3 linked regions of the Rattus norvegicus genome follow. The protein of the gene in region 2 interacts with the protein of the main gene of each other region in a pairwise test. Links are inferred from orthologs where the notes say so. Each region holds a gene or a part of one and is shown on either strand. Other genes may lie near its edges.

Region 1 (3,750 bases), on a different chromosome or scaffold from region 2:
AGAGATGAAATATTAACCATGGTCAAAGGGCACAGTCAAAGGGCAAGTTACAGTGCTGCTTCTCATCCTAACATGAATACAACTCTGTACTTTCTTGTCTGCCTACTCTGCCTGCCCAGAATATGTAAACTATGCCAAGCCTCCCTCACCTCTGAATGTGTCCTCAAACTGTAGGCCTCCATTTACCTCCCACAGCATATTTGAGACTCTGATCACAATACTCATAGACTGTCTCCCCTTTTAAGAATTTTGTGACAACCCCTACCCCACCCGACCCCACCACCCAAAAAAAGTAACAACCTAGACAGAAAACCATTGAAGAGAGCTCTTAAAACTTATAATCAAGATGCTTCAATGAATATAAGGACAGCACAAATTAGACTTGTCCCTCCTCCTCCTCCTCCTCCTTCTTCTTCAAGGGCAGTGGTCATAAGGGTAGGGAGCAGACCTGGGAGGACTAGAAATGGGTGTGATCAGGGTGTATTATATGAAATTCTCAAATAATCAATAAAAATAATATGAAAAAAGAACTCTTAATTGTGAAGAATTAAAAGTCAATAAGATGCCAACACACATGCATGTGAGTGCGTGCGCGCTCACACACACACACACACACACACACACACACACACGCACGCACACAAAATCATATAATATATAGAAGGACTTAAGCATGCCTATCAATGCAAAATGAGCCAAAAAATATTCTAAAGGTTCAAACAATACTTTGAGTTATTTTCATGGACACAGGGACATTGTGTGGTGGTTTCTTTCATCCATGGATAGGCAGCTTGTGAGTTAAGAGCCATTCATCATTCAGCTCAGCCACTGCCTTTCCTCATTGGGTCTCAGTGTGAGTCACATGCTTTGGATTTCTTTGAAAAGAACTGCGCAAGATCTCAGCATCTCACAGGCAACTGCTGCATCCCACTAGGAACTCCACTCTCTCCTCATCCATCACAATGAGTAACAAATTCCTAGGCACCTGGAAACTTGTCTCCAGCGAGCACTTCGATGACTACATGAAGGCTCTAGGTGAGAATGCTTCGTGGCAAATGTCCCCTTATGGACAGATGCACAGGGTTTTCTCCAACGTTTTTTCCCCAGGAGTCTAAGGAATGTTGTGTGGGCTGAGTGCAATCTTCTGTCTCATTCATAAAATTTACTTCCACTTCATTGGCGATAGATTGTTAGAATTTAAGTGCATTATAACTTGAAGACAGTGTCACAGGTTTGTCATTGGAAATTTGGGAGAAATATTAGAGTTTGAGTCATTCCATATTCTGGCATTTTCTGAAAGCTTGTTTAATAGGAATTAATGTGGTAATAAGATTATGAATTGAATACTAGGAAACCACAGTTTAAAATTTTAACTTTTATCCAAACTAAAAATTCTGTGTCTCTCTCTGCTTTGAGTTTGTTGATAATTAATCATTTAAGTGTGTGAAGTTTGATATATGGCACATTTCCTAAATGAGGATGCTCGAAACCTTTGCAAGTTGTTGATATCAAATGAACTGGTTGGCGGCTGTGAGTTCAAACTTTGTCCCACCAAAATCTATCCATCCTAGTGTTGAGCAGGGACTACAGACAGAAGAGTGTGGTGGACAGGTTGTTCTGTTTTGTTCTTCTCACCAGACAAATTTTGGAACTACAAAATGTCAAAAATGTGATTCCATCAAGGATATGAGGGGGGTTGTACTGTATATCCACAGCTCCTATTGATAGAGAAAATAATATAGAAAAGTATGTGTGGATGGGAGATAGTCATGCTGAAAGCATGTTTGTAAACACAATATCAAATGTCTCTAATGCTTCATACAAATCTGAAATGACTTATTTTATGGTGAGGGTACCACTGGACATGACAAAGTGGACAAACTTTGAAGCTGTATAGTGTTATGCTGTAAACTCTGTAGTCATCACTGTTGTAGCAGTATGCTAAAATGAATGTGTCACCTATATGCATTTTTTCTTGTTGTTGAACCTTCGGTGGAAGTCCTTGGTAGGAAGTCCCACCATCTACTCATTGAAGGTAACACTGAATAAGTAACAAGAAACCCGTGGACATGAAATCCATCTCTCAGATATGCCGCCTTACCCAACACAATCTGACAACGCCTTGCTTTTCAGGCGTGGGGTTAGCCAACAGAAAACTTGGAAATTTGGCCAAGCCTAGTGTGATCATCAGCAAGAAGGGAGACTATATCACCATTAGAACTGAAAGTGCCTTCAAAAATACAGAGATCTCCTTCAAGTTGGGCCAGGAGTTTGATGAAACTACAGCTGACAACAGAAAAACCAAGGTAATCCATAATATTTTTCTTTGGAAGTTGGTTCAATGGACTACTGAGAGCCAGGATTATTCCTTTTGGGAGTTAGCAACTTGGAGAATGGATGTGATTTGTTGAGATACCTGTCATGGAAACTGAGTTAAGCCAAACACATGAATTTGTCTTTGTAGAGCATTGTGACGCTGGAGAGAGGCTCCTTGAAGCAAGTGCAGAAGTGGGATGGTAAAGAGACAACCATAAAGAGAAAGTTGCTGGATGGGAAAATGGTAGTGGTAAGAACGTTCCCAGTTCTCAAGGCAGAAATAATGCTATATACATGCATTGATTATGCTTGATTCAAAATGTCCTTGTTCTTTAGAATACAAATGGACAATAACACCAAGAATAAAGTCAGGGGTTAGTGCTTGAGTGAAAAACCATTTAAAAAAATTCATGTTTGAGTCCTACAAGTGTTAGGTCAAGATTTTTAAGTGGTAGTATCTAGACAGTAAAGTTAATGAAAATATCGATGAATGTCATTTGTTTAAACTTATAGCCAAAAATGTAAGCCTATACTTCAAAAATAAAATATAGCCCTGGTCTGCTCAATTATACAATATCATAGTAAAAAGCCCATTTGTTTTCAGGAGTGCATAGGAACTTACCCTAAACTATACCAAAAACACAATCTGAGCACTAAGCTCTGGAGACTTCTTTCAGTCAGCAGATCAGAATGAGGAAAAGAAGCCTGCCAGACAGGCTCTAAGGGAATTTTAAGACTATGGGTTTGTGCTCACTAATTACACACACTGAATATGCATACAGTCCTCTAGTGTTTTGACCATTTCTTTTCATGTGCGCTGGGTTTTAGCTCTTGCTGCACAGTAGGTGTCCAGGGCAGTTCCAACATGAGGTCACCGTTATAGATCAACCAAGCCCAACCTCTCAGGGAGTATATGTGGCTGCTCTTTTGGGTAAGGCCAATGAGAAAGCCATTTCGATATTAGTCACTACTCTCCTTGAAACCAAAACCAGCTAAAAAGCATCTTCAGAGAGAATTCATCTGGATCTGTAGTGAGAGGAGACACCATCCACCACGGCAGAGAAGACATGATAGCGGGTGCTTGAGGCAGCTGGTGGTGCACATCAGGAAGCAAGGGAAACGGACACGGGTGCCCAGCCCAGCCCTCAGTCAGACCCTGGATGGCCACTTCTCTACTTTAGCCTGTGTTAGGTCTTCAGGTCTCCCCACCTCAATTAACCTGACTGTCCCTCTCAGACATGCCTGAAGGTTTGATTTGTCTTTGGGATGGATGATTCTAACTCCCACAGAGCTGGCAACCAACATTAAGCGTTATAACTGTGACAATTTTTATTGGATTTAAATGCATCTAAACTGTGCATAAAAAACTGCTGCTCGATCATGTGTAATAACACAGACCAACTTTATAGGCTTTCCTCAAGTTTCAATGTTGTA
Region 2 (3,750 bases):
CAGTATCAGTGGGTGAGCTTCAGGAAGCTGTCATTCCTTGGACGTCTGAATGTTGGAAGTGTTTACTACTGATTCCTGCTGTGTGGACTGCAGAAAAGTCTAACGAATGACTCTTCTTCAGAGGCAAAGAGCCCTAATCAAGGAGATTGCCAGGGTGGGGTCTCTGTGTCACTGAGTCCCTCAGCACTGCTGTATTTATTAAGGGTCATCCTGTGAAAAGCATCCAGCCCAAACTTGGAATTCAGGATGCCATTTTATGCCTAGGGAACCTGTGGAAAGTGGGCCTTTACCGCTCCTGAGACTTGACTTCCAAGCCTGTTTTCCCAAGAATTATGGGCTTCCTGCTTCCTTAGTCAAAGCTGTTTTCAACTAATAAATGAATGAATGATAACCACAAACATTGGGTTGGAGAGATCAGTGGTTAAGAGCATGTACTTTACCTCCAGAAGACCTGAGTTCAATTCCTAGCAACCATGTCAGATGCTCACAACTGCCTGTAACTCTAGTTCCAGGCCAGAGCCACTGTGGACACCTACATTTATATGTGCACAGACTTACACGTAATTTAAAAAAATAATAAAAGATAAGTATTAACAAAGAAATATCACAAACGGATCTGCAATGTTGATAAACCTATGGGAACCAGAAAGTGGGCCTGGTGTTTGGGGGTAGGAGAAACAGTCACCGAAGCTGGAGTCAGCAGTTAAAAGTGCTGGTTGCTCTTCCAAAGATCACAGGTTCGATTCCCTTAACCCACATGGTGTAACTCCCGGCCTTGTGATCTGATGCCCTCTCTGGCCTCTGCAGGCACTGCCACATACATCTTTGCAGGGAAAAGGCTCCGTTACTTAAAAGAATCTCTAATAGGTCAGAAGATGCCTAACTGGGTCTTCCTGTAAGGAGTGGCCTAGTGTCACGGAGGGAGGGGTAGTGGGGGTAGTCAGGGACAAGCACTTGAACAAGTCTCTAGATTTGCAAGGGCAGGTGAAGGAGGCGTGGCTGGGTCTTTAGGCCCGGCCAGCGGGGCGTGGGCAGGTTTCTGGATGGGCTGGATTCGGGTAGGCGGGTCTCTAAGCGGGCGGAGGCGTGGACTGATGGCCAGGCTGCCTGGGAAGGCGGACTCACTACATTGGGGAGGAAGGGGCGGGACGCGATGTGTGTTGCCGGAAACGAGATGAGTTCTTCAGCACCGGAAGTACTGGGGGCGGGGTCAAATGGCTTAAGTGTCTGGGTTAGTTCCCGAAGAGAGGCTGCGATGGCGAGCTCGACAACCCCAGTCTCGTTCCTTGCTCCTCCTCTAGAGCAGCTCCGGCACTTAGCAGAGGAGCTGCGGTCGCTTCTGCCTCGAGTACGGGGTGAGTTGTGGGAATCTGCAACCCCAGGCTCCGGGTAGGGAGGTCGGGCGTCAGGTCAGGGCTCCTCTCACATGTCTTTTGCTTCCCGGGTGGTCCGGCCTTCCTCAAGTCGGCGAAGCCCAGGAGACAGCCGAGGAATTTAATCGAGAGATGTTTTGGAGAAGACTCAGTGAGTGTCTTTGCCGTTGCGGACTCTTCCTCCATCTCCCTGCATCCTACCCTCTTTTCCTTCTGCTGTCCCCTGAGATGACAATTCCTCCCAGTCCTCATCCCTTCTGCTACCCATTCTCCGCACTTGAGGCTGAAATATAAAACCATTTCTGGAGTTGTTTTGGAGTGTTGGTAAGGGTGGAGAAGGGACCCGTTATCTAAAAAGTCCAAGTGGCAACTTTAACCTTTTAACACTAACTTTGGCACCCGCTGCCTCTGACACCCCCAGATGAAGCAGCAATGAAAGTGTCTGGGGAAGCCACTGTTCTGACCACACTCTTCTCTAAAATTCCATCGCCATCTCCACAGGTGAGCTTTACTTCCGGAGTTTTTTTTTTGTGCTGTCTCCTTAAGAATCCTCTAGTTTTCTTATCTTTTGCATTCAAGCCACACTTACTTCCCCCATTTATCAAGCGAGATTACAGTTCTCACCGCATGGGATTGTTGTAAAGGCCAAATTGCCAAGTGCATAGGGTAGAAAGACCTTCTAAATTTAGTCTGAAACTCAGCCGGGTTAGTTCCTAATAATTTTTAAAGCCCTTGTTGATTTACAGCTGTTTCACATACATATTCTCTATCTGACAGATGAGTAAGCCTGTTTAGAGGCTTGGTTCAATAAATAGTGGAGGAGAAGTTAAATGCCTTCACACTATCTAACAACACCTGCTATATACAAAACCCTTTAGTGAGAAGTTTGCTGCTGCTGCTGCTGCTGCTGCACACCTTTAATCCCAGCATTTGGGAGGCAGAGGCTGGCTGCTCTCTTGAGTTCGAGACCAGCTTAGTCTACAGAGCCAGTTCCAGGATAGCCAAGGCTGCCCTTCCTTTTGTAATGCTTTTTAGAATTGTCCGGTATCTACCTAATTTCTTTATATTGTGGGAAGAGTACATCATAAGGCCTGACTCATGACAGGTTTTCATAAAACATTTAATCATGCTTATGGATGTCTGATCTCTTCCTTAGTAAATGGGTTGGCAGCATTAATGTTGACCATTCATTCTGAATTTCACCTCGTAGGAAACCCAGAGGATCTGTGAGCAAGTCCACATTGCCACTGAGGAAGTAATTGCAGCATACTACACATTTCCTAAGGATCAGGGTAAGTCACTGTATACACAGTAGTGTTGGATGTACAGGCTAGACCTTTGCTAAGGGAGTAGACTGTGTCCTAATATGTAAGCATGAAACATGTAAACATTATGTGTTTATCTTCAATGTAATATTATATATTTATATGTAAACACATTATACATGTCTATTTTTCTTCATTTTTGAGCATGTGACTTTCCTGTGAAATAAAGTCAAAGATAATTTTATATGTGAGTGACCTGTGTCACTCCATATGGGAAGTGAGTGAGTCCATTATGTGAAGGTACAGATGCTATGTAACTGTGATTTCCCTATCATTACTGCCCTACCTAATTCTTTAAAAAGTGTGTGTGTGTGTGTGTGTGTGTGTGTGTGTGTGTGTGTGTGTGTAGGCACACACATGGGGAATGGGCTCTCTCCCTCCATTGTGGGTTCCTGGGATCCAACTCAGATCTTCAGGCTTGCACAGCGAGTCCTCACCTGCGGAGCCATCTTAACTGGACATTACATTCTTTATTTTATGTTATGGGTACGGGTGCTTTGTCTGCATGTGTGTCTGTGTACCACATGTATGTCTGGTTCCTGCTGAGGTCAGAAGAGGTTGTTGGTTCCCCTGGAACTGAAGTTATAGACAGTGTGATCTGCCGTATGGGTTATGGGTTATGGGTTATGGTTATTGGTTGTTCCTGGGTCCTCTGGAAGAGCACTGAGTGCTCTTAACTGCCAAGCCTTATCCTCAGCCCCTCAATTGGTCCTTTATAAAAATTGTTCATTATCTGTGTCTGTGTATGTATGTGCACACGTGGGTGCATGTGTTTACTCAGGTGCTTATGCATGTGTATACGAGTACATGTGGAAGCCAGTATCTCCACATGATCATGAGAGAGTCTTCCCTGGAGTTCACGGATTCCCTAGGGGAGCCTCCTACCTCTGCTTCCCCAGCACTGGCATTATGGGTACACTCCAGTGTGTCTGCCTTTCTCCAGTGTGTAGGTCTTGGGAATTGAACTCAAGACATCATGGTTATGTAACTGGCACTTTCAAAAATATCTTGTCTTCTCGGCTCCTAATCCCTTTTCAGTCCATTCTAACTGC
Region 3 (3,750 bases), on a different chromosome or scaffold from region 2:
CACAGGAAAGCGTATGATATCAGCACGAGGAGGTGGAGAAAATGGAATTGTGGGTCCTTGTCTTTCAGAGCAGCTGGAGGGGAGACAGAAAGAAACTAAGGCATGCCAGGCTCCTCTCATTAGCCCATTTAGTCTCCCTAACATCTGAGCCCCCTTCACTGGGTCTGGATAGCAAGAGCCCTGTTCAAGGAGGATGCTGGCATTCACCCTACGCTCCAGACCCTCAGCCCTGGGTGAGGTGGGGCATCCCCAGTCCTGCAGCACATACCGCTTCCTGCAACGCCGGAGCCGGCTGACATCAGGCAGGCCAGGTGGATAACCATGCACCTTGGTCTTGGCTGTTCGACGCAACTTGGAGAAAGACTCAAATATGGTGGGGACTGCCCCTTCCTTCAGCCTGTGATACCCACTGTGGGGAAAAGCAGCCCAGATGAGCTAGAGAAAAGAAGGCTGCCATCTCCCCTGGATTCCCAATGTAGGTCCTGCAGCACTAAGGATGAGAGAGGCTCCGAGGCACACTGCCAGTAACACATCTGAGGAATGCCAAGTGTGGTGAAATCAAACTCCTCTTCCCTGTGAATGAGCCTCCAGGGTTGAGGTGAGTGGAAAACCCAGCAGCAGGGCTAGGCGGACCAGCTGGAAGGCCTAGGTGCTAACATCCTACGAAAAAGCTGCTTGTCTTTCGAGTGGAGACCAGCGGCTAACCTCAGGTGCCTTCCTTAATCATCCACCACCTTTGTCTTTAAAGATTTTTTCCTTAAAAACATTTTTTATTTTTACGTGTATGAGCATTTCGCCTATGTGACTGTTCACCATATGCGTGCCTACAGAGGTTAGAAGAGGGTAATGGACCAGTTCCCGACTGTTACAGACTGCTGTAAGCCACTGGGGAGGGGGCTGGAGGGCGGAAACGAACCCGGGTCTTCTGGAAGGAGAGTCAGTGCTCATAACCTCTAAGCCAGCCCTATGTATGTATATGAGTGTTTAGCATGCATGTATATATGTGTACCCATGCCCTCAGCGGTGGACTGAACCCCAGTCCTCGGTAAGAGTTACAGGTGCTCTAAAATGGTTAAGCCATCTCTCTAGCCCTTCGACCTTATTTTTTAAAGACAGTCTCTCACTCAACACAGGGCTCAACAACTCATCTAGACTAGCTTTTCTGTAAGTCCCTGGGATCCTTTTGTTTTGTCTTCTCCAGGATTGGGATTAAAGGAACAAGCAATCACATGTGGCTTTTTATTTGGGTATTTGAATCTGAACTCAGGTCCTCGTGCTTGCACACCAAGTCTTTAGCAAAGAGGGCTATTTCCCCAGCCTGGAAAAGCTGTTTTTCTCTGATGTCACTGGCACGGTGATTCTGGGACCATGCTTTAACTGTACAGAACAGGAAAGAGGCAACAGCACCCTTGACAACCGGTCTGCCTGTCTGTGAGCATGCCAGCCAGATGTTCATGGACTTCACCAGGACAAAGAGCTGCCTCACTTGGCCCACTGCTCTGATGCCTCACAACCTGTCCTGGTGTTGGCTGGCAGAAAGACCCACCTGATTCCCACCAGCTCAAAGCAGTTTTCCTCGAAGTGTTTGGAGCAGAAGTAGATGTACTCAGAGGTCGGATCCCACAGGCCCTGGCCGCTGGGGTCCAGCCGCTGACAGTTGGCCAGCCACAAGCCGCGCCTGGGGTTGTCTTTCTTGGGAAGTCTGCAGAGCCACAAAACCGTGAGCACCAGACTGTCTACAGCCCTGCGTTCAGGATGCCCAAGCTCCCCAGGCAAGAATGACAGACCTCCCCGAGACCCTTTCAGATTACCACGGGCTAGGGAAAAAAGAGAAACTGAGGACGAGAGAAGGAAAGGGGCCTGCTCAGCATCATCTAGTAGGAATGAGGCAGAGCTGTAGATCCAAGCCAGGTAAGCGTCCAGTCTTTTTCGGCTGGACTGGAAACTATTCGGCCTCCCCTAGAACCCTCCCGCTCACAAGTTCAAGCCTCACTTCGACCTCAGGAAAGCGCTGTCTCCTGCGCGGCCTAAGGTGCGGCAACACCAAGCGCCTGCGCATGTGAGCCCTCGCGTGCCACTACGCACGCGCGCTGACCTGTGGAAGGAGATGCCGCGGTTGCGAGTCTCGCGTGTATCCCGTGTGCAGCAGCCGGCGGCGGAGCAGTGTCGCGGCATCTGGGGAAGGGGCGGGATCTGGGTGATGCGCGGCAGTCGGGGGAGGACCGTCTTCACGCCCAGCTGTCACTCCCTCCAGAGGGCCCGAGCCTGTCGGCTCCCCGCGGCCCGACCCCGCACCAGTCCTGTCCTAACTCGTTCTATAGACTCCCGTCAGCGGTACTCACGGTCTTGCCATTGCTGCGCCGCCAAAATCTCGCGATGGGTGGGTCAATGCGGAAGTTGGTAGCAGAGAGACTCCGACGCCCGTGGCGCCGGCCCCCAAGGGGCGGGACCGGAAGAGATCCTGGCGGGGCGGGCCACCGGATGTTGGGATTGATGGCGGGGATCGTCACTGCTGATTTCACGTTCCTGGACTAGTCGTTTCGCCTCCTTGTGTGTCCAAGATAATGGCTGAGAGCCCGCCGTTAGGACGAAGCAGTGGGGTGCGATCTGTAGTGCTTCTTGAACATGGTTGAGACACTTTGGTTGAGAAAAACCTGAGCAAATCTTTGTTCAAAGAACCCGGTCACCCCGGCTGGTGTGATGGCTCAGCACTTGATGCCAACCCTGAAGATTGAGTTTGATCCCCGGGACCCACCTGGTGGAAGGAGAGAACCAACGTCCAGTAATTGTCCTCTGGTCCCCATACATATGCACAAAATAAAATGTAAAGACACAAGGATTCTTAGAGTGACGGTATTAACTGCATAGGCAGAGCGCTGCAAACAAAGGCCTTGAGCCTTCCCACCACCGAGGTGGGAAGGTTCTGAGCCCTGGAGTTTCCAGCTGGGCCAGGCAGCAGCATCTCTTATTACCATTTACTTTATTGTGTTATCTGGCAATCTTGGAGGGTTCATTTTAGATTAAGTTCTTAAAATTAAGACCAGTGCTCAAAATTTACTCCCATAACAGGAAGAAGGGTACAGTGTGCTCCAAGTACAGTCTGGGACATACAATGATTGGCTAGTCGTGGAGGAAAACTAATGGAGAAATGGCATAGCAGGAACTGGGTTTTACAGCCCTTAGATGGAGCCCCACTGCCTCTGTCCTCAGCCCTCTCACAGGACACCGGGAAAGTCACTTCTATGCACTTTATGTGAGGTGGGAGGGACAGTAACATTGTTGCCCTAATTCTCTTATCTAATTAGAAGCTCTCCCCCCCCCCCCGCCCCGCCCCGGAGCTGGGGACCGAACCCAGGGCCTTGCGCTTCCTAGGTAAGCGCTCTACCACTGAGCTAAATCCCCAGCCCCTAATTAGAAGCTTTTAACTGAGTGTACAGACATGCTTAGTAATGTAGAGAGAACACGTGTGTTTCTCCCAGAGGAATTCACGAATTGGCTAATTAGTCCTTCTAAGAAAGATGGATATCTAGACAGGGAATTTTGTTTTGTTTTTAAAGTACAGTGCACAGTAAAAGTAATGCCTCAGTGCAGACACTAATACAGAGAAAAGCATCACTTAGTGTTAACAGTGGGAAGAGCTAAAGGGATGGCTGCCAGCCACACAGCCTCACTCAGTACTCTTCCCTCCCCTTCTTCAGCCTCTGAGTCTGTGAAATCCACAGCCAGTCTTCCTAAGCCTTCTCCAGTGCT

Evidence for each region.
Region 1: the proteins of Ccndbp1 (region 2) and Pmp2 interact in binary tests that used the Homo sapiens proteins (3 or more experiments, as listed by UniProt). The two-hybrid records come from large-scale screens. The link is inferred for Rattus norvegicus from reciprocal best matches to the Homo sapiens genes CCNDBP1 and PMP2.
Region 3: the proteins of Ccndbp1 (region 2) and Thap7 interact in binary tests that used the Homo sapiens proteins (3 or more experiments, as listed by UniProt). The two-hybrid records come from large-scale screens. The link is inferred for Rattus norvegicus from reciprocal best matches to the Homo sapiens genes CCNDBP1 and THAP7.

The regions. Positions count from the first base shown.
Region 1 is NC_086020.1:93,517,813-93,521,562, forward strand, and holds the start of Pmp2 (myelin P2 protein), read left to right. Parts: upstream 1-917; 5' UTR 918-962; coding exon 963-1,035; intron 1,036-2,133; coding exon 2,134-2,306; intron 2,307-2,464; coding exon 2,465-2,566; intron 2,567-3,750.
Region 2 is NC_086021.1:128,414,982-128,418,731, forward strand, and holds the start of Ccndbp1 (cyclin-D1-binding protein 1), read left to right. Parts: upstream 1-1,255; coding exon 1,256-1,355; intron 1,356-1,464; coding exon 1,465-1,524; intron 1,525-1,794; coding exon 1,795-1,874; intron 1,875-2,583; coding exon 2,584-2,665; intron 2,666-3,750. UniProt on the Homo sapiens protein: May negatively regulate cell cycle progression. May act at least in part via inhibition of the cyclin-D1/CDK4 complex, thereby preventing phosphorylation of RB1 and blocking E2F-dependent transcription.
Region 3 is NC_086029.1:96,985,899-96,989,648, reverse strand, and holds the start of Thap7 (THAP domain-containing protein 7), read right to left. Parts: upstream 2,376-3,750; 5' UTR 2,343-2,375; exon of another isoform or gene 2,176-2,342; coding exon 2,096-2,175; coding exon of another isoform or gene 1,994-2,095; intron 1,703-1,993; coding exon 1,547-1,702; intron 410-1,546; coding exon 269-409; intron 74-268; coding exon 1-73. UniProt on the Homo sapiens protein: Chromatin-associated, histone tail-binding protein that represses transcription via recruitment of HDAC3 and nuclear hormone receptor corepressors.